Linked DNA regions of Rattus norvegicus. The protein of the gene in region 2 purifies or fractionates together with the protein of the main gene of each other region. This does not show direct contact. Links are inferred from orthologs where the notes say so. Each region holds a gene or a part of one and is shown on either strand. Other genes may lie near its edges.

What was found.
Region 1: the proteins of Vdac1 (region 2) and Atp1a1 fractionate together in Homo sapiens (co-fractionation; 3 studies listed by BioGRID, with this or other methods). This does not show direct contact. The link is inferred for Rattus norvegicus from reciprocal best matches to the Homo sapiens genes VDAC1 and ATP1A1.
Region 3: the proteins of Vdac1 (region 2) and Atp5f1c fractionate together in Homo sapiens (co-fractionation; 3 studies listed by BioGRID, with this or other methods). This does not show direct contact. The link is inferred for Rattus norvegicus from reciprocal best matches to the Homo sapiens genes VDAC1 and ATP5F1C.
Region 4: the proteins of Vdac1 (region 2) and Rab2a purify together in Homo sapiens (affinity purification with mass spectrometry; 3 studies listed by BioGRID and IntAct, with this or other methods). This does not show direct contact. The link is inferred for Rattus norvegicus from reciprocal best matches to the Homo sapiens genes VDAC1 and RAB2A.

What each region holds. Positions count from the first base shown.
Region 1 is NC_086020.1:191,716,299-191,721,768, forward strand, and holds part of Atp1a1 (sodium/potassium-transporting ATPase subunit alpha-1 precursor), read right to left. Parts: intron 5,289-5,470; coding exon 5,179-5,288; intron 3,252-5,178; coding exon 3,117-3,251; intron 2,667-3,116; coding exon 2,474-2,666; intron 1,310-2,473; coding exon 1,134-1,309; intron 185-1,133; coding exon 48-184; intron 1-47. UniProt on the Homo sapiens protein: This is the catalytic component of the active enzyme, which catalyzes the hydrolysis of ATP coupled with the exchange of sodium and potassium ions across the plasma membrane.
Region 2 is NC_086028.1:37,056,038-37,061,841, forward strand, and holds the end of Vdac1 (voltage-dependent anion-selective channel protein 1), read left to right. Parts: intron 1-821; coding exon 822-972; intron 973-2,573; coding exon 2,574-2,631; coding exon of another isoform or gene 2,632-2,738; exon of another isoform or gene 2,739-3,530; coding exon 3,531-3,622; 3' UTR 3,623-4,505; downstream 4,506-5,804. UniProt on the Homo sapiens protein: Non-selective voltage-gated ion channel that mediates the transport of anions and cations through the mitochondrion outer membrane and plasma membrane.
Region 3 is NC_086035.1:73,349,329-73,354,137, reverse strand, and holds part of Atp5f1c (ATP synthase subunit gamma, mitochondrial), read right to left. Parts: intron 3,908-4,809; coding exon 3,703-3,907; intron 3,255-3,702; coding exon 3,046-3,254; intron 2,004-3,045; coding exon 1,848-2,003; intron 1,513-1,847; exon of another isoform or gene 1,463-1,512; coding exon 1,366-1,462; coding exon of another isoform or gene 1,362-1,365; exon of another isoform or gene 1-1,361.
Region 4 is NC_086023.1:26,471,027-26,477,137, forward strand, and holds the start of Rab2a (ras-related protein Rab-2A), read left to right. Parts: upstream 1-2,397; 5' UTR 2,398-2,599; coding exon 2,600-2,645; intron 2,646-6,111.

The DNA.
Region 1 (5,470 bases), on a different chromosome or scaffold from region 2:
ATCAGTCCAGAGCCAGGAAGGGACTATACTTCAGCTTCTTGCCGTACCTGGGGTTCACCTGGTTCACTGGAATGTTGAGGCGGGCAGCAATGTCTTCCACGGTCTCGTTACCTTCTGAGATAATGCCCACCCCCTTAGCAATGGCTTTGGCTGTGATTGGATGGTCTCCTGTGACCATGATGACCTGAAACAGGAAACTGAATGGTAGGCATCAACTCATCAAAAATATAAACACATAAAATATAAACACATATTTCAGAAAAAAACACAGCCCAATGCCATGACTATATCCACAATGCATTATGTTGTATCTCTTTTTACAGAAACATAAAAGTCACATTTTTTTAAAACTATCAGAGTAAGAAGACCTAATATCGGTTGGGCTAGGACGCCGTGTATACTGCTGGATAGCACTTCCACACTCATCCGGTTCTGGAGGACGACTATAGATTTTATTTAGAGTATGTGTGTATGAGTTTGTGTCAAGGGGTTGGGGACAGCACACCAAGTGCGGGAGTCCTTGGAGGCATCAGGCCCCCTGGAGTCTGAGCCACAGGTGGTTGTGAGCTTCGTCAGGTGGGTGCCGGGAACCAAACTCAGGTCCCTAACCACGCAGCATGTCCCCAGCCCATGGTTTCTTTTTTTTTTTTTTTAATATTTAGAAAAGTATCCTTTAAAAGAAATAAAGTACTGAAAAGATAATTAATATCAAGCTTCTCAGTGAAGGATCCTCAGGAGCCTGAGGACAGCAGAAGCAGCCTCGGGGGTAAAGGCAGCACAGTACTGAGGCCCTCAGAAAAAGAACAGAGACCGAATCACTGAGAAGCCAGCTCAAAACATGGGGTAGCATGCCATTCACTGCATTTCCAAATTTAAACCTCAACCTTTCAAGAGTATCTGACCCTTCAGGGTTACACCTAAGGCTTAGGAAATGAGAGATGGATAGACACTATTGGGGGGGGGGGGGAAGGGAGGGAGAGGGAGAGGGAGAGGAAGAGGGAGAGGGAGAGGGAGAGGGAGAGGGAGAGGGAGAGGGAGAGGGAGAGGGAGAGGGAGCACTGTATGGACCAGGGCAGTGTTTGGACCAGGAACCACAGCTCTGTGACAAAGCCAAGGAGACAAACAGGCCATACCTTAATCCCAGCGCTGCGGCATTTGCCCACAGCATCGGGGACAGCAGCTCGAGGAGGGTCAATCATGGAGATAAGACCCACGAAGCAGAGGTTATCCACGGGGAAATTGACTTCATCAGTGTCAAACTGGAAGCCTTCGGGAAACTGTTCGTCAGGCAGAAGGAGGTGGCAGAAACCTACAAGGGAGGGCAAGTACCTGTTAGGTTTCCAGTGCCATAGGCTGTGAGGGTCAATTGCAGTCCTTCAAACCATCATGACTATATGGGCTACATGTTAAATGTCAAAGTTTAGGAATAATACAGAGTCAGTGAGAGAATAAAAATGGCCAGAGGACAGAATTCAGAAAGAATTATCCAGGGTCAAGAATACTCAGTGTGGGGACCATTGGACCACTAGCTTTAGCACCATGCCGTTAGGCTGCTCAGTGTGATGAATTATACATAGGCACCTTATCTGGAAAACTGAGACTTTCTTCCTATCTAGTCATTGTTACTGAGCGCCTGTATGGGCATTCACAGGAGCGTCTCTGAAGACGGACACAGAACAGACATCCTGCTGTGATTGTAACACATGGCTGTCCATTTTAAGACATAAGACATTCAGACTTTGCCTTCAGCACTGTGTGACAGTCCCAAGAAGAGTAGATCCCTCTTACTTGGGGTTGGGAAAAGCAAAAAAGCAAAATGACCTTAGAGAAGACAGTAGTCTTTCTATTGGGCAGACATGTGGGAGAAACTGCCTATAGGTTAGTTTTGTAGGAAAAGGTGTCTGACCCAGAGAACTAGACCAAGTGATTGGTTCTCAAGTACCTTTAGATACCAGGAATAATCAAATAATGGATTTGTATCTACCAATATATAAAATATTGTTAGTGCCAGTTGCCCAAATAAATTTGAACAGAGGGCAAAATAAACTTCTGTGCCAACCTCAGCAGTTGCCCGGTTAGGATACAGTCAGCATCCTGGCTTTCTGGCTTGCTGCTGGTTTTATGAGTGGAGTGGTCACTTCCCAGGGGCCAAGAACAGTCATCTTAGGTATTACTTAGGCACACCAGAAACAAACAGATTTTAATTAAGCTTACAGACCATGGCCATAACAATGAGGTTAGACAATAAACTGCCACCCCCACCTCCTGCCATATAGAACTGAGTATCGTGAAGCCACAGGTCAGCCAAGCAACAACACTGTTTGCCAATATAACCATTATTTCTCCACACCTCTGCTTTAAACAATGTAATCAGCAGCGTGGCTCCCCTACGTTAAGAGGAACACCCCGAGAACACGGAGATCGCTGTGCTTGACACAGCTGTGCTCAGGAGCCATGGCGGTCACCTGCATACCTAGCACACGCTCTCCAAGGCCCCCCAGCTCTAGGTAGGCATTCTGAAAGGCGTCCTTCAGCTCTTCGTCCAGGGGCTGCTCCTTGCCGTGGAGGAGGATAGAACTGCATCGGTCCAGGATCCTTTCTGGGGCGCCCTTCATCACTAGCAGGTGCTTAGGCTCCGATGCGTTTGGGTTCTTGTGAATGGAGAGCTGTGAAGATCATTCAGACGCAAGCATTAGGAGGCTGCACGAGGCAGCTCAGGGAGGAAGGTCGGCTTTCCTAACCAGTTAGTACCTGCTATAATATAAAGCAAACTAAGAGCTCCTTTCTCACGGTACATGCTGATTTTACAGAAGCAGGCATTTACTGTATGCCTAAGTGAAGACACATCTAACATACACATGCTCACAGAGACAATCATGAACTCCTGGAGAACGCTTGGTACAATCTCCCTCCTCTTCCAGCCCCCAACTCCAAGGTCCCCAACAACATTCTGAGAGAGGTTTCATTTCTCCTACTGATATTCAAATAAAAGGAGACTCCCAAATTTAAAGTCAGACAGAGCTTGGGGAGCCTGACTGCGTGAAGAATGTCTCTTCCTCTAGCTCACGAGCCCCAGGGTCCCCCATGCCCCGTGTGAGTGTCCCTGACTGGCACACCTGGTACTTGTTGGTGGAGTTGAAAGGAATCTCCACTATCTTGGTGTACTTCTCCCTCATCTCCATCACGGAGCCACAGCAGACCTCGATGCACTTTAAGAGCGCCGACTCGGAAGCATCTCCCGCTACTGCACGCTGGGAACAGAGACATCGTCTGTTAATGACCTGGGAAGGCTGATTCATACGGCATCGCTGGGAAATAGTAAACTCTGGATGTACTCCAATCTTGTCAGTGGCAGAGAAAAGAGGTGAGAAGTGACCCAGACCAGGCTGTTCACAGTGCCCCAGGCTCCGGGCTAACCTCCTTCCCCATCCATATCAGCTTCAGGTGAAAGGGTGCCTGGAGACATCACCGACTTCCCTACCTACTGGAGTCTGCCTTTACCTTCCCCTGGGCTGCTACAAAGCCTCGCACTCAACACTATTCACAACTCAACACTTGTGGCTGTAAGTATGGGAAAAAACAAAACAAACAAACAAACAAACCAACCAACCTCAAAGATTTCTATATCACTCATTGCCTCAGCCTTTAAAGCGACATGGCTTAGGGCTCAGAGCCAGGCACAAGCTGTCAAAGGCTCCATGTATGTGCAATGTGCAAAATCATCTGGGCTTGAAGCCTGTGAGCTGGACGCTCTTCCCAGCCCTGGCAGTAGCATAATCAGGTGGTGTTAAGTCACTGTCCTTGCTTTGGGACACACACCTATGTTTTCTATGATCCACTTACTCACATGACCACACAACGGTTTTGACCTACCAAGCATTTCTCCTGTAAACAACTTTTATACAGGTGAGCATTTTAGACCTCTGACATGTGAGCCTGGACACGAAGGTGAGCAAACAGACTCTCACAAGGACAGCAGCCCTGTGAGAGAGGGGTGGTGGTGATGACCATTTGAAAAGAGGAAAGAGGGGTTGGGGATTTAGCTCAGTGGTAGAGCGCTTGCCTAGCATGCCTAGCAAGCACAAGGCCCTGGGTTCGGTCCCCAGCTCTGAAAAAAAGAAAAAAAAAAAGAAAAGAGAAAAGAAAAGAAAAGCCAACTATCAAGCAGAATAAAATTACTTTCAGAAACCTTGACAGGGAGGGAAAATAATGCTATTATTTTCACAGCTTGGCTACCCTTCAAATATCTCTTGATAATTTTTTCTTTTTCTTTTTTTTTTGGTCAAGAAAGATAGAAAATGCCCACTCTGAGGTAAGGCAAAACATGAGGCAGCCATCTTCAAGTGACTCCCAAGCTAAACAACATCTTTCTTAAACCAACTCCAACCCAACGCCAAGCAAACAGCCTTCAAAGAATAAAGCCCAGCCTCACAAGACAAGCTGCCTCAGTTAGGTCTGAGCCTCATTCGCTGATGGCTGGTTTATATAGAGAACTCCCACAGGCCAGCAGCATCACAGAGGACAGTTGGGGCCCGGGAACCTCCCCCAGCACCTGAACATCTGTAACTCGGGGTTCTTCTGAGACTCAGTAGCACTTGAGCAACACAGTAAAACCCCAGCCACCGCAAACTGTGTGAGTATTCCAGGAGGCTGCGACTGCCTTGATCTTATTTTTGCATCATTAGCAAGCAAGCTAAGAGCAAGTAGTAAGATAAGGGAAATAGCTGAGCTATTTTAAGAACATTAATGGCTTAAGAGATTTACTGGAATCTAGTGTATCTGAACATGCGAACACAATTAGAATCAGTAAGGCAGTCTCACTGTCCCCTTGGTTAGGTGCTGTCTGGGGGATGGGGTACAAACTGGTCTACTGAGGCTTTTCACCAAGACTTTCTCAGGTGTGATTTTTTACTTTCTTTTTCTAGTCGTCCTTGATCAGTATGGACTGTGGCCACTGAAATCACTTTGGAGTTCTGGGCAACACAATCTTTGCTATAAGGAGCGAAGTTTCCCACAAAAAATCTCGAGCATTCTGCAATGAAGCTGTTTGTCTACATACAAAAGCAAGGTGCTGTTTGGAAAGAATGATGGCGTTCTTATGTTCTAACCACATCCTTATCCCCATTCCCCACCCCAAACAACCAAATAGGCCAGAGCCCTTCTCAGGGGCAGGCATACCTTAAGGATAGGCAGGTTTTCTTGGTTAGCCTGAAACACTGCCCTGTTACAGAGACCAGCAATTCTGGACAGAGCGAACCAGGTGGCTGACGTCTTGTCAAAGGAGACCCCTGATGGAAGGAAGCAAGAACACATGACAGAAACACGATGTGTTGGCTTTTTAAAAATTAATTTATATGTGTGTGCTCTCTGTGTGTGCGGGCACACTCTCGTGAATTTATGTGGGTCACATGCATGCAGGTGCTCAGAGAGACAAGAAGGCCATTGATTCCCCAGTGACTCGAGTTACAGG
Region 2 (5,804 bases):
AAACCAATATTATTTCCATTAATACAATTAAAAACATGTATTTTGTGTGTGTGTGTGTGTGTGTGTGTGTGTGTGTGTGTCTTTGTCTGTCTGTCTGTCTGTGAACTACTATGCTCCAGTGTATGTGTGGAGGTTATATAACAACTTGCACGGAGTCTGTCCTGTTCTTCCTCATCCAAACCACAGCACTTGCCTTCCAAGGAATGTGGCGCAGAACTTTCTTGATTGTTCTGGCTGTGTCTCTTCTCCTTGGCTTCCCTCCTACCATCTTTTACAAAAGTGAAGACACAGACAGTAGACAGCAGAGAGCTCTGTAGGATTCTAATTTTCTAGTTTCTGCTTTCATTGGGGGGAGGACCAAAACGGGTTTATTTTTATTCGTGTGTGTGTGTGTGTGTGTGTGTGTGTGTAAGATGTGTGTGTAAGATGTGTGTGTAAGATGTGTGTGTAAGATGTGTGTGCAGGTGCCCACGGTGGGCTGGATGCTCTACAGCTGAGTTATGGGCAGTTGTAAACTGCCTGATGTGGGTGCTGGGAGCTGAACTCAGGTCCTTTGGAAGAGCAGCAAGTACTTTTAACTGAGCCACTTCTCCATCTACCTCCATTTTTAAAGAGTATTTAGAAGCTGTCTTGAGGTTCTGTGCTGCTCTGGTAGGGCTTCCTGTATTTCAGCACTTGTTCTGTGAAATTTGGTCTCCATACCCTGGCTTGATTAGTCTATTTCTGGCAACCTTGCTTTCTTGTTAGTGTTGTTGACTCGACCTGGGTTTCATCCCACCTCCCCAGACAGCTGGACATCTGTTGGCTATGCTTACTTGCAGGAATGATGGGACGGAGTTTGGTGGCTCCATTTACCAGAAGGTGAACAAGAAGTTGGAGACTGCTGTCAATCTCGCCTGGACCGCAGGAAACAGTAACACTCGCTTTGGAATAGCAGCCAAGTATCAGGTCGACCCTGATGCCTGCTTTTCGGTGGGTACCTGAGAATCACTCGTCTCACACGATTGAGAGATTTCTGTGCTTCTGCTTAGATGTTTTCTCACTGGGCAGAGATGATTCTTGTATTTTTTTTTTCCTCTTTTTTCTTTTTTTCGGAGCTGGGGACTGAACCCAGGGCCTTGTGCTTGCTAGGCAAGCGCTCTACCACTGAGCTAAATCCCCAACCCTGAGATGATGCTTGTATTTAATTGAGATCCTTGAGACAGATACTTTTTAGAAGAAGCCTCACTATATGGCCTTGGTGGTCTGGAACTTACTCTATAGTTCTCATAGAGATCTGCCTGCCTCTGCCTTACCAGTGCTGGGATTAAAGGAATGTGCCACAATTGGCCTCCATGGCTTTTGTTTTTATTTTTGTATTTTTTTGGAGACAAGGTTTCTCTGTGTAGCCTTGAGTGTCCTAGAACTCACTTTGTAGACCAGGAAGGCCTCAAATTCAAGAGATCCACCTGCCTCTGCCTCTCAAGTGTTGGGATTAAAGGCGTGTCAATCCCACTTGATACCTGCGTGGCTTTTATATCTTCAGTATTTTTACACTGGAGGAGCTGAGCACTTATGGAGGTTAATTGGGTAACTTCCTTAAAGGCACCCAGCACCCAGCAAGTATGTGCTGGGCCTGGCTGTAAGCAGACCGCTCCATTCTCGAGCCTCTCTAATTCATCTGTCCCATCATGACAACTGTAAGGGGTGTTTTATTCTTCCCCTCATTTCATTTGGTTTTCAGTCCCTACAGTCCACATGAAGACATCAACGGTCAGTGTATTCCAGTGGTAGAGCCCTGGCCCAGCACGTTCGAGGGCCTGACTTCAGCCGCATTACTGGGGAAAACCCCAAACAAACAGAATCAAGGCTTCGATGTAGCTCGTTTGGTAGAATGCTGGCTTAACATGCAGAAAGCCTGTGCTTGGTCCCCAGAACTGCAGAAGCAGCAGGCAGAAGGATCAGAAGGCCATTCTTGCAAGAGTTCAGAGGCAGCTTTGGGCTCTATAGTGAGATCACATCTCTAAAAAAAGACAAAACCAGGTGGCATCTTGTCTTGCTAACCCCATGGCACCCGTCAGGGGCCCAGAATGGCACAGGTTTTATGGTGAACCCACTCAACTGGCTTCTGTCATCGCACTGTAGGTGACCACCTTTTTGAGGTGGAATGAGGAAGTGTTGTGTTGCAGAATGTTTCTGTGGGTTGGTGTAACTCACAGAGTCTATTGTAAGTCTCCTGACCTGGGAACTGGACTCGGCTCCCTCAACATGAGGCATGCTTGTAAAACAAGGGCTCTCCTTGTTGGGATGTTGGGAGCATAAAGGAACAGTTAGAAGGGACACGGCCTGCCGAGAGCCCTTCTTCTCCTTGCTCTGTCCTTGGAAGTTCACAGAAGCGGGGAAAGCACACGCACCTGCACGTGACACATCTCATGTTGAGTTTTCCAAGATGGCCATGAGCAGGCGTGAACACGGTTCTGATACCTGGGATTTGCCTAAGATGCTGTCACCAATTTTGGAGGTAGACCTGTAGGACAGTTTTCACGGGTGAGGGACACCATCTTCACTTGGACTTTTTTTCTTTTTTCCTTCAGGCCAAAGTGAACAACTCCAGTCTAATTGGCTTAGGGTACACTCAGACCCTAAAACCAGGTAGGTGTTACCCACGTGCAAAGCTAGTTTTCTGTTGCGTTTTGCTGATTTCCGCTATTGCTGAGGGACATTATAAACGAGTATATATAGGCTTTTATAATAATTAAATGTTTATTAAGGGAGTTGGGAAGCCATTGTAAGAAGAGAGTCCGAGAAAAGAGTACAGAAGGAAACGGCCTGGGCTAACTCACATCACATCTCTGGTTCTTTTCTCCTTTCCTTTTCCCAGTATATGATACCCGATAGCTACTCCCAGGCTGGAGTCAAAATTATCCTGTCAGTCATCCTCACGATAGACATAGGGATGGTGGGTAGTGGGTCTTCTATGCATAGTTATCCCAGCCTCTCACTAGAGTGTGAGGACTGCAGAAATGCTCAAGGCTGATTATGTGATATGAGAATCAAGTTCCTCTAGGGAAAACCAGCCCGTTCGATCTAAGTCCCAGGAAAAGAAGAAGTTTATTGTTTGCGTGTGTGCGCGCGCGCGTGTGCGTGCGTGTGTTTGTGTGTGAAGATGAATGTAAGACTCAGGCTGTTACAGGATAGGGTTTCCCTCTAATGCAGTATTGCTCCAGCAAGTCTTGTTGTAGGGTGGCAGTAGTGGTTGGCACACTCATTGTAACTGGGCTGGGGGAGGCAGGATGGAACGGGGATTCGGAAGGATTCCAGCAGGGTCTCTCTGCTCTGCGTCCCAGCGGTGGCCATTCACATGTGTTGCTTTGAGGATGGCAGCAGGCCGTGTTGTATTATAGAAGCTTGAAGGCTCACCTTGCTTGGCCACCGCCTGGAACAGACTCTGACTTTGATGTTAACCTCTCTTCTCTTTCCCTCCCTCCTGCCCCTTTCTTCCTCCAACTGTCACCCCGCCCTCCCACACCTTCTGCCTCATCTCCCTACAGGTATCAAACTGACACTGTCAGCCCTGCTGGATGGCAAGAACGTCAATGCGGGTGGCCACAAGCTTGGTTTAGGACTGGAATTTCAAGCATAAATGAATATTGTACAATCGTTAATTTTAAACTATTTTGCAGCATAGCTACCTTCAGAGTTTAGTGTACCTTTTAATGTCATATGTTGGGGATGCGAGAGTTGATTGATACCACGTTAGACCTCCAGGCTAAGGATGACTCGGCTTTAAGGTGTTTACCGTTTCAGAGGTACAGCGGAAACCCCATTCCAGGAAGGGTCCTTTTTAGCTGTAGGCGTGGGCTGGGGAGGAGCTCCTCTAGAGATGCCAGGCTGCAAGTGGAAGCTGGGAACGTGTGGACCCTTTGTAAATCTGTATCCAGTCCGCACATGAAATTGTGACTTCCTGAACATCGAACCCCGGTGTCCCGATCCTGTCTGCTCGGAAGCATGTACACACCTACGTGAAAGGGACGGTTTTTTTTTTTTTTTATCGGATGGTCACGCCCTGTTCCCATCGTGCCCTGTTCCCATCCTAGCCCATCAGTTACCTGTTTTACACCAAAAGTAGTCTTTAGGGTGTAGTTAGCAATTTCTTTTGTGCCATTTTAGGGTGGAGAGGGTGGGCATGATGAAGCCAGTCATTCAGGACTTAATTCTTCCTTGTGTTGTGGTGTGGTTTTCTTCCTTTCTTCTGTTTTTTTTTTTTAATTCCTTTTTTTTTGCCATTGCACCAGAGTATGAAATAGCTTCCAGGTTCTCCGGCTCAGAGCTGGGCGGGTGATTGTGGTCACACCCTGACAACACTAGGGATCTCAACGGACTCCTCTTGTAGCCGCACCACTATTTTTAGCAGTTTAATGGGTACATTATAGAGTCTTCCATTTTGTGTGGAATTAGCTCCTCCCCTTCAAATGCTGTAATTAACATCACTTAAAATAAAACTTGAATAAAATACTGAAACCTCATCCTCTCTCGTTGCTTTTGGTAAAACTGTGAATGGCCAGGGCACTGGTTTGGATTTGTGCTTTGCTCCTTTGCGTTCATAGGACTTTTGTTCTTGGTGTCTGTCTGATAAGTCACCACTAACCTGACAGAAAAGAAGACTTTGGAGGCTGGAGAGGGGCTTAACAGTGCTTCCTGCTCCTGTAGCCCTGCAGCCGCTCTCTGACTCCCTCTCCTGGCCGCCTTAGGTACCCACACGTGTGTGACACAAATAAAAACATCTTTTAAGAAAGCATCACAGTTGATGTGATGGCACATCCTTGGAGATAACACAAGGATATAGTGAGTGAGTTCTGTGAAGAGGAGAGTTGTGAGGTGTAGGTTGATGTCATTATGCAGGTGAAGGCTGGGATGGATAGAAAGAGGCCTGTCATTGGGCGAGAAGGATGGACAGGAGAAAAGTTTTAGAGAGGCAGAGAAGGCTGGAGCCAAGGAGGAAGGAGCTGAGAGAGCATGGCGGCGGATGTTAAGATTCCTCTCTGCACATATTACAGGTTGTAATGACTATTCTTAAGGGATGGATATGTATAGGATTTTGTGTCGTCTAGATGGGCAAATTATATCTTATCAGTTGGACCAGAGGTTATTGTGTGATGTGTTCTTTCATGCGATGATTTAAATTGAGTTCAAGAAAGTGTATGGTGGCAGGATGTACTGGGCCCACCACGGAGTTGGGATGTGTATACCTGACCTGGTGTGATGGAAACCAGCCAAGAGAGCAGTGAGTGAGGGCGGGGCAGCCTGACAGTCGGGTTGGAATGGCTCATGGACAGTGGGTCAGAAAGTAGATGGGGCCAGTGTGGAGCTGCTGAGATAAATTAACACTAGTTCCAATGGCCCACCGGAGCCAGAGCCAGAACTATCGAGAGAGCTCGAACGCCAAGGTACGTGTGGAAACTGTTCCGCTGTTTTTGCGAGGTTCGGGAGGGCCTGCCCTTAGTGTTGGAGTCAAACCACAACAGACCAACATGGTTCCACGTGGAAAGGTTTAATAAGAGGAATAGTAGAAGAGGAGAGGAGTAAAAGCCGGCCATGAGCATGTGGAAGGAAGGGGGGTGGTGGGGAGAGAAGGGACAAAGGAGAAGAGGGCAAGAGAGTGAGGAGGGGGTAAGCAGCCCCTTTTATAATGCCAGGCAAACCTGACTGTTGCCAGGTAACTGGGGGTGGAGCTTAGACAGAATGCCAACAGTTGAGTCAGGAAGCTAGGGGTGTTGGATCTAGAGAGAACTGCAATCAGTCACAGGCAGTCTGATGAGGGTACT
Region 3 (4,809 bases), on a different chromosome or scaffold from region 2:
TCCAAGGCTTAAGGACAGGGACCAATAAAAGTCAATTCCTGATAAAATAGCATAGCACTAAGACACAGTGTGTGGTCAGGTGCTAAAAGATGCCTCACTTAGACAACAAAAGTTAGGTTTTTTTGGAAGAAAAGATTCCCCTCGCCCAATCAAGGAAGGTGAAGAGTTGTCAGATGAAGAATGAACAATCAGAGAGGAACTGAAGCCCAGACAAGACCAGACACCTCTTGGAAGTGAAAAACAGGACGATGTGTTTAAAGACCTGGGAAGATCAAGGTTCAAGCAAGTAACTATACAATTCTATATGAGAAAGATTGCTGATGGCCAGAAAGTACAGGTTTACATGCAACAAAGTAGACTTTTTTGAAGGCTGAACCTGTAAAAAGGCAGCAAGGAAGTATCTTCCCCTTGGGGGCTACACACGGTCTTCTTTAAACCCTTTACAATATGGCCCCAGACCAAAGTTTCAGTAATCGCCATAATTCTGTACTGTCTTCTTTGTGTCCTCATAACAAAGATAGTATATTCTCTGAAAACAAGCACAGCCTCTACTACACCTTGAGGGTCTGGCATCTACAAATTACATCTTTCTTCAGACTAGCCCTGATGCCACTAGGCAGGCAGAGAGGAAGCCCGAGCCTATGACTCTGGGAACCGCTCAGGCAATGCAGCAAACCCCTATCCCCAGCAAACCCTTTTACAGTTTAAAAAATGGCATGAAGACAGGAAAGATTAGAGCGTTCTAGAAGGTAAAACTCAGAGAACTCAGTGGCCAGTCAGGAGGAGGAAAGCCTTAGCAAGCCAAAGGCAATCACCACATGCTTCCTCTGTTATAACAACCTGCCTGGGAAACTGCACGTGGTTGATGGCCAGTTTAATCTTTCAACAATCCAGACATTATCTGGCGGAAAACAGCATGCTATTTTATGGTACTCATTGGTATTTACCAATGAAGAATATTTAGTGACTTAAAATTCTCATCATCCAGTAATTAACAGAATTATATAAAATCAAACCTAAAACTAGTCTTTAACTGAGAAAGTTTGGCTTATAGATACAATTAGTTCCAAAACCAGACTTTCCAAATTGATACTGAATTATTCACGGCTTTCTCCCCAATACTTCAAGAAAGTCAACTGCATACAAAGGCCTCTCTCAAGATGGGAAATTAAATTTGAACATTTCAGCTCAAACCGTAAGGATAAAGCAGAGATGTCTTTTCCATCAGGATTGATGAAAGGACACAGACGCTGCAGCAAGTCTTTTCGGTTGTAACAGAACAGAAAAGTCAACGGCCCGAGGCTCGCTGACCCACGTGCGTGCGGAGAGAAGAGCGGCTTCACAGGCACCAGCTACACTACTTACAGAGCAGCAGCCCCGGAGATGATCTCTATCAGCTCCTTCGTGATGACGGCCTGGCGGGTGCGGTTGAAAGTCAGCGTCAATTTATCAATCATATCAGCTGCAAACAAAAGGGACAGACAGACACCACAATAAAACGTTTTGAAAAGAGTAATTTCTACTTAATTGAAGCAATTAAGAGTTGAAGTAAATTCTGCTGCAATTTGGACCCCCAAACTGGCCTTTCAGGTTGGTAGGAATTTAATCAAGTTATTTTTCACATTTTCCACAAGCCATGTTCATGGTGCTTGCAAATCCACTATCAAGTAAGATGGACACCTCAACAAAACACTCTTTTAACATTTTTGGTGCCACTCTGAGCAACACTCAGACAGACGCACGCACGCACTCTGGCAGAGATGCAGCTAGGCTCTAAGTGTTCCTGGAGCTTTGTCCAATCCCTTGTTTCTAGCATGGGCTAACGATGTTGTCTAGCATGGGCTTACAGGCGTTCTTGCTGGCGTTGTCCATGGCGGTCATCCTGGCACTCTGCTCACTGGTGGTGGACTCCTTCAGGGAGTAGTAGATGATGTTGGCCAGATTGTATTCCTGGTAATTCTGCAGCACGTCAGCATCAATGTCATCATAAATGCTCATGTTCTCTGTTAAAACAAGTCAAGAGTGTCCTTGAAGAATATAGATGAAGCTTATTCATATAGCTCATGACTAAGGATTCTAAATGATCTTGAGTTAAATGACTGTTCTAATAATTCAATTTCCATAGCATATCATCAGCAAAAACATGCATCAACAGGTATTTAGCTTTTAACCCCAAAGATAACTTTAAGCTGGCATTTAAAATAAGCACTAAATTTCAAAATTAGGGGGTTGAGAATTTAGCTCAATAAGGAGAGTGTTTGCCGAGCAAGTGCAATCCTCAGCTATCAGGGGAGTGTGTGGGGGCTTAGGTTTCATGGTTATAAAGCTCTCCAAATAGCAGCTAGCCAAGCATTTGTCACATATACATCATTCAATATTTTTTTAATTAAAAAAAAATCAAAGACAATCTAATAGTGTTATACAAAGGACTGTGCATTTGGAGACCAGCCTGAGCTAAACAGCAAGTACCCATGTCTAAGGAGGGGGAAAAGGGGTAATTATACACAACACCCCAAAGTAAACTCCACAGATGAAATATAATACACACAAGGTATGCTGTTTCTGGCAAAGGTGACTGTCCAATAATAAGATGACAGAGTTCAGTGGGCATAAAAATCAGTTACCATGAGCACTTTAAACCTCTAACATCTGACTGCACAGCAGTTGTTTGCAAACTGCATCAAGCCAATTTTTAACAAGGCTTTTCAGTCACTGGAAACAGGAACTTTCTTACTAACACTGGTCAGTAAAATGACAGATCAGAGCTCGGCTGTCTCCAGCTTGGTTAAGGTGTCCTGGAGGGCACAACAGTGCTGCTGCCTTTCTTATTTTATCTTATGAGTATTTTGCACACATGTATGCTGTGTACTATGTGTGTGACTAATGCCCAGAGTCAGAAGGGGGTTAGATGTGCAATGACAGACAGCTGGGAGCTGATATGTGAGGGCTGGGAACCGACCCCACGTCCTTTGTAAAAGCAGCAGGCGCTCTGAACTACAGAGACAGCATCCCAGTCGCCACACCTGCCGTGTGAAGGCGGCTTACCAGCAGCCACGACGGTACTGAAAGAGAAGATGGGCTTCTCTTCTGTCTTGTAGGAGATAACAGACTTGAACTGATTAAAGATAATAGAGCCTTCATCAAATTCATATCCCGAATTTAACAACTCCAAGGCAATGACCGATGCATCTCCAAAAGTAGGGGGCTTCCGCCCCACGTCTTTGAAGGACACCAAAAACTGATCAGAGTGAGTCCTGGAAAGCACACAATAGGTGAGTGAGATACTGCGTTGTGAGAAAAGAGCAAAAGAAAAAAGTTATCATAGGCCAGGGCTTTTTGTAGGGATGTGGGAGGTGGGTTAAGTTGTTCTATACATCATGACTTCCTTTAAGGGCACCTGCAAAAACCAAGATCTACAAGTCAGGCCCGTCTACTGTCCAGTCTTAGTGGACTAGTGGTCCTTTCTAGGATTACTAGGCTGTGACAACTCAGGATTCCTTCTTTAGCTTAATGCCAACAGCTCTGGTAAGCTTCACTGTATTCCACTCCTGGTATAGAGGAGAGCCCATGCACACACACAGTGTAAAAACCAACACACAGTATACACAAACACTCCAATGTATCACGAAAAACTTCTCTATCTCAGTCTTCCATTCGCTCAGGTTCCCACTCTTCTGAACATGGAACACATGTCTCATTTACCTATAAAGTATGCTCTTGATTTTTTCACCAATTCCAACAATCATAACTTCTTTCCCAGCTGCTGTGAGGGCAGCCATGTCATTCTTCATTTGTTTAGCCACGGAGGAATGAATAGCACCACAAAGGCCTCGATCCGAGGACACACCAATAATGAGGTGCTTCTTCTTGTCCTCAGGTCCCTTAATCTCAGCCTTCTCATACAGAGCTGAAAAACAAAGTGAGAAGACCGCTGAAATGACATTTATAGTGACTGTAGTGATAATCTCTAATTAAAAGGGAATGAGGTAATTTACACTTTGCATGTCTGTTGGATCCGTCCTGGTGAGCAGAATCAGGGGTGTTTGTGTGTTTATTCTATTACTACCAGGAAGGACACCACTGAGGGTCAATTGGTGGCCAGTTCTTTGTGTCTTAAATGACTTAAATGCCTAGATATAACCAAAAGCAGAACAGAACACAAAAGTACCTGCTTAGCTAGACATCAGATTTCTATACAATGTGAATTCCCAGCATAGATAGCTAAAATAATAAGCAAGCATTCCTGAGCCACTCACTTAATCCCGACACCATTAAGCTCTTGTTTTATAAGAAATGTTGATACTGAAGTTATGGGTGTGATTTACCTTTGGTATTACTCAATCAACTTTCCTGGTCTGGTTTTTAAGAGGTAAATGCAAAGAAGAAAATCAAGTTGGATTAAAATACCTGGATCTTACAAAATGAATTACCTGCATCAGAAAACAAGTCGAGGGGCTGAAGAACCATCAGACCCAGGGGTGGCCCTCAATAGCTGGCTACAGCCAGGACTGCAGGAGCATCTCCACAGCCACCACATGCACTCACGTTCTGTTCTCATTACAAAGCATGGATCTCACGTGGCTAATGTCTAAGTGTCCCTCCCCGAGCTGAAAGAGAGCCTGAAACTACAAAGTCCAGGGAGTATGGAGGACACATACATCTACTTAGATCTGACTACTGCATAGGAGATATTTAAATGAACGTCCATTTACTGGCTGGTACTGTCTGGCAGTAGGACTCACTCTTTAGCTCAAATACATCAGAAGTTGCCAGGATCTGATCGCTCCATTTACAGAAACTCGTCAGTTC
Region 4 (6,111 bases), on a different chromosome or scaffold from region 2:
TGATTCCAAAGGAGGATACACTCTTACAGACATTCTAGAGAACTGTCATTCAGGGACTGAGATAGTCAAGACCACACTCTAAGAGTAAGGACCTGAGTTTCTGAACAGTCTCAGAAAAGATGACTTGGGTGAAGTCAATTAGATAGGAAGGGCAAAACAGCCTGAAACCTGAAGGACCCGGGGAAGGCCCTAAAGACCAGTGGACCAGATTTTCAGATTTTCACATCAAATTCCTGAACCTTTAGCAAACCACGTCCCACGTAATGAAGAAAAGCCTAGTGGGTTTCTGCTTGTCAGTGATGCAAATGAAGTAGCAACCAACTTCACTCGTCCTAGCATGATGCCATGATCTATAATCACAGAATGGCAGATTCCTAAAGGAAAGCAATGACAGTCAGCAGGAGGCTGGCCGCAAAGCCCACTCATTCCTCCTCCAGCAGTGTTTCTTTCTGTTGCCAACAGAAGAGGGTTTGAAGCACTAAATTAGCTTCCTTACACAACTCTTAAATTCCCTGAACAGATCCATGAGCACCATTCCGCTTTATTCCGAGCACACGTGTGCTGTGTGTGTGTGTTGTGGTGTGTGTGTGTGTGGTGTGTGTGTTTTGTGTGTGTGTGTGGTGTATGGTGTGTGGTGTGTGTGTGGTATGTGGTGTGTATGTGTGTATGTGTTGTGTGTGTCTGTGTGTGTGGTGTGTAGTGTGTGTGTGGTGTGTGATGTGTGTGTGTGGTGTGTGGTATGTGTGTGGTGTGTGGTGTGTGTGCGGTGTGTGTGTGTGTGGTGTGTGTGTGTGTGTGTGTGCGGTGTGTGGTGTGTGTGTTTTGTGTGTGTGTTTTGTGTGTGTGGTGTGTGATGTGTGTGTGTGGTGTGTGGTATGTGTGTGGTGTGTGGTGTGTGTGCGGTGTGTGTGTGTGTGGTGTGTGTGTGTGTGTGTGTGCGGTGTGTGGTGTGTGTGTTTTGTGTGTGTGTGTGTGTGTGGTGTGTGTGTGTGTGCGGTGTGTGGTGTGTGTGTTTTGTGTGTGTGTGTGTGTGTGGTGTGTGTGTGTGGTGTGTGTGTGGTGTGTGGTGTGTATGTGTGTATGTGTTGTGTGTGTGTGTGTCTGTGTGTGTGGTGTGTAGTGTGTGTGTTTTGTGTGTGTGGTGTGTGATGTGTGTGTGTGGTGTGTGGTATGTGTGTGGTGTGTGGTGTGTGTTTTGTGTGTGTGGTGTGTGGTGTGTGTGTGGTGTGTAGTGTGTGTGTTTTGTGTGTGTGGTATGTGTGTGGTGTGTGTGTGTGTGGTGTGTGTGGTGTGATGTGTGGTGTGTGTGTGTGTGTGTGTGTGTGTGTGTGTCCTTCCATTGTGGTTTCTAGAGAATGAACTCAAGACAGGCTTGCCTGGCAGGTGCTTTATCTGTTCATTTTCAGGACACATTTTTTTGAGACAGGGTCCCTTGTTTGACCCCTCAGTGTTGTAAAGAATGATCTAGAACTCCTGACCCTCCTTCCTCTATCTATCTCCCGAGGGCTGAGATTATAAATGCATGGCAGGCTTGTAATAACCTTTGTCCTTTTGATACAGGCTTTCCGGTAACTGGTTCAGATGCAATCTCTCCAGAAAACTGTTTAGATAGTTAAACTCTGTCCTCCACCTTCTTCAAAACCTGGGCTTTTAAAGAACTAAGTCTGCTTCTTGCTGGTACCACTAACAATATATACAGGATAGAGTCAAAGGCAAAAACTTTGAACTGCACACACACATACACTTCTTATCAATTCCATCGTGTAACTTAATATCAGGTATTTATTTCAGTGTTTCATACAATACATATACAGAACACGATTAAGCTACATATCGTATACATTACATGAATATACAACACGGCACTTAGAATTATGGTCTGATAAATGGCATGCAAAGGTATATCTACTTCAATATTTATACAGATTTTTTTGTTTTACATATTTTAAGGAACAGCATAACAGCATAGTATTCCATTATAGGGGCATACCACAATTACTAGCTCCCGATTTAGTTTCCCCAAACACTACACACACACACACACACACACACGCACGCACGCACGCACGCACACAGACAGACACACAGACAGACACACAGACAGACAGACAGACAGACAGACAGACAGACAGACACACACACACACACACACACACACACACGCACACGCGCACACACACACACACACACACACACACACACAAAGAGCGGAGCTGAACCTAGCCTGCTTGGGCTCCTCGCGACTCCCGGACACCCAGCCTGGTGGGCGGGGCTCCGGGGTAGGCGGGACTCCGACCGGAGGGCGCGGCCGCGGCTCCTCCCCTCTCCTCCGGCGGCGCCGGCGGCGGCAGCACTTCCGGGTCGGCGCGGAGGCGGGGCGGAGGCGCCGCGGCTGTTATTGTTCCGAAGGGCTGGGCCGCTGCGATCCGCGCTCGGCGCTGTCAGTTCGTCCCGCTGCCCCTCGGCCCTTGCTGCTGGCTCTGACGGCGACCGACGGCGGGCGGGGCCCGGGTTCGCGGCCGAGCGGCGCCGGTGAGGGCGCGGAGGAGGCGCACAGCGGGAGGAGGAGCCGTGAGCCTGGCACGGAGCGGCCGCGGCCATGGCGTACGCCTATCTCTTCAAGTACATCATCATCGGCGACACAGGTGAGGCCGGCGGCGGGCTTGGGAGACCCAGAGCGGGCAGGAGGGGCAAACGGCGGTGGCGCCGGTAGGCACGGGTCGGGCGGCGCGGCGCCTCCCTTCCTCCCTCGGTCCCCTGGCCGCCGCTCCATTTCCGCAGTGCTGGCGCTGGTGACGTGGGCGCTGCGAGCGGCCGCGGCCTGGCTGGGCCTTCCCCGCTTCGCCCGGGCCCGCTGCAGCCCAGCCAGCGGCAGCCGTTTGCCACTCCCGGAGAGTGTGACAGCAGGATGGCTGTCCCCGGGGCCCCGCCTCGACTGTCTTTGCGGCCCGGGGAGTGAGAGAAAAGCCGAGCGAATTAGAGCGTGACAGGCCCCAGTCCGGATTTTTCTCCCTGGTCCCACCTCCCCGACCTGCACGCTTCCGTCTAGGCCCTGGCAAGGCGCACCCTGAAGTGGGACAGCCTGTTGAGGAGAAAAAAAAATTGAAAAAGGAAAAAAAAAATCTTTTTTTTTTTGAAACATCCTCAACCTCCAAGTCCTAATAAGTCAGGTCACATGATTCAGTGGCAGGGCAATTCTTCTCGGGGTCATTAAAGCACTGTAGACTCCGGCGACTTTTGCCACGTGTATGCTGGGATTATTTGATTGGATAGTAATGCAAGGCAGGTCAGTGCTCTGGGTGTGAGCATACAGTGGGTATGCTGACTGACTACTGATTTTTTTCTTTTTTTCAGTTGTGTCAAGTCCAAGATCACAACTGCTAATTTTCAAGTGACCTCGTGTACATTTGTAGCAAAAAGAAAAAAAAATCAGTCCCCACTTAAAAATAGCATCCTAATAAGTTTCTCAAGCAAATAAGCAAGCTGTTCATGAAATACTTTGAATACCTGCGATTTGGGCCTCATTTCGAATCTAATAATAAACGTAAAGCTTGTTTAGGTGTTAAAACTATTAATACATCAGAGTCTGATTTCAGTGCTGACTGTTGCACAACCTAGACCCCTTACACAACTTTGTAAATGTAGAAGCAGGTTTGAGGTTGCCCTATGATGTAGCAGGTTCTATAAGTAACTCTGGAAGTATGTTGATTGCTGCCCAATAAAAACTTCCTGCTGTAAATACAGTTTTTCAGCAAGGGATGTGAGTGTGTGTGTGTGTGTGTAAGGAAACTGGATAGTTTTCTATGCAAGGTACTGGGTAAAGCCATATTTTGTAAACTGGGAAAGTGGTATCTAAAATAAAAGCACTGAGTTATAAAAAAGCAAAATTGGAGATGTCAGATTAACTGCAATATGCCTGGGTTTGTGAAACGGGAGTAACTAAGCACTTGGTTGTCTGAGCAGCAGCACAATTTAGATTGAGAATTTGCAAGGTATCCTGTTTTGATGAGGGATCTATTGTGGATTGACAAAGTAATGTGCAGGGAGTAATGGGAGGACAGATACTACCAAGCTGGTGCTGTGTTCTCAGGAAATGCGTCCCCATCCAAATACAGTCCCTGTGCGTGCCTTAGAAGGGAAGACACTTTCTTGGCATTCTGGTCTGACCTAGTTCTGGCATTTGACTGCTTGACACTGGGCTGTAGGGTAACACTTCGTCCACACTCCAGTTTATCTAGTGTAGTTTAACATCAGTTTACCCTGAACTACCTTGTCAAGAGGCAAGCTCTTGCTTTCATATGCCTTTGCCTTTTTAGTTTGATCCTCAGTGAACTGAAGTACCTCCTGCTTCTCTAGCATTCTTTCCTACCGCATCACCTTGCTGTTGCCTTCTGAGGCTTGTCTTGTCGGTCCTTCTCCCTCTGTTGGCCTGCCTTCTGCCATTATCTTTCCCTATGAAATTTTGTTAGTCTTTTAATTAAAGCCTTGCCCAGGCCTTCCATAATGCCTGCAGAATCAACATCTCTTGACCTCTTATATACACCAGTATTCTCCTGGTACCTTGGTTAGAAGTGAGTGCTTATTTTCTGGATTATAGTTCTCAATTTATATCATTTTCCTGATGTTTATTCCAGACTTATTTTATAGGTGTTTGTGTGGGCATCTGCATTTGCTTATGTACTTCTTGAGGGTAGAAAAGGTTTGCTGTATGGTTCTGTGCGTTAGGATGAACCTAGTCAAAGGTAGACCTTATATAGTTAACTACGTTAATCAGGAGCCAAATGGACTATACTTCGACTACTATACATTAATAATTTCAATTTTTAACTCCAATTCTGCTACCTTTTTGCTTAGTGCTTTTGCTTGAAAATTTCTACCATTTTATTTCATAGAGTGTACTAACAAGTATAATGCGATTTATAAAGTGTAAAGTGTTTTTGCTTTGAGCAAGCCTAGCTGAGTAATGTAAGTACATAATAATTATCAGAAAAAGCCAATTTCAGGAACCGAACACATCTGTGAGTTTTTAACCTCATCATCAATCCTTCTGTCCCTCATCCAGATACAAAAGTCCACAAGCCACTTGTGTTTACTCACAGCTAAAAATGCCCCCTTTTCTTTTGCCTAGATTGTGGTAAAACTGCCTTTCCTGACCAACTCTCTTCCTTCCCTGTTGGATTACAGTGGTCTTGTCCTCGCCTGCCCCGTTCTCTGGTCCTCCACCCTTCTTCCCCACTCTACTAGATTTTAAATGATCCTTTTTATTAGAAGGCTTTTCTTCTCACTATTGTGTGAAAAAGTTTGTGTACCTTGTGAGGAACTTCTTACTGCAGAGGTAACATTTGAGCTGAAGTTAAATAATGAGCACAGGTTAGGTGACCTAGGTTAGAGATTTGAGAACTAATCACGAATGCAGTCCTCTTTGTCCAAGATTTTATTATTTGAACTGTTAAAATTGTGAAGTCTTAATTTTTTGAAATTTTATGTATGTGCATGAGTAACTGCATATACTGTATATGCATGTGTGTTGGGGGTGTGTATGGGTGTGTGTGTGTGTGTTTATACCATGTACTTGCCTGATGTCTGTAGAGGCCAGAAGAAGGTGTCATATCAAATCACCTGGAACTGGAGTTGAGCTACCATATATGGTTTTTGGGAGCTAATCCATGATCTCTGAAAGGGCAGCAAGTGCCCTCAACAATTGGGCCCTCTCTTAAGTCCCCAAATTAAGAAATCTCGTAGGGAAGAAAAAAAAAAGTCTCAAATACATTTAAATCTTAATACATTTATAAATAAGCTCCTAGTGTGAGAAACTCCTCAGAGTTTCTCATTTGTCTCCACACTCCTGCTTTGATATCAAGGTTTGATGGCTGTACCATGGGTCAGACAGTTGCAGTGCAGAATTACAGATCATGCACCCCAAAATGCAAGGTCTTATTTATTTGGTGAAAATTATTCTGGTGCACTGGTTCACATGTAAAACTATTGACACCTGGGGATCTGACAGTTGCCCTTCTGGAATGAAGTGGGTGGTGACCTTTCTTTCTTTAGCCAAGAGGAAAGCACACTGAGGTCTTCTTCCTGCAGAGAGGAAGAGCCACCTAGCAGTAA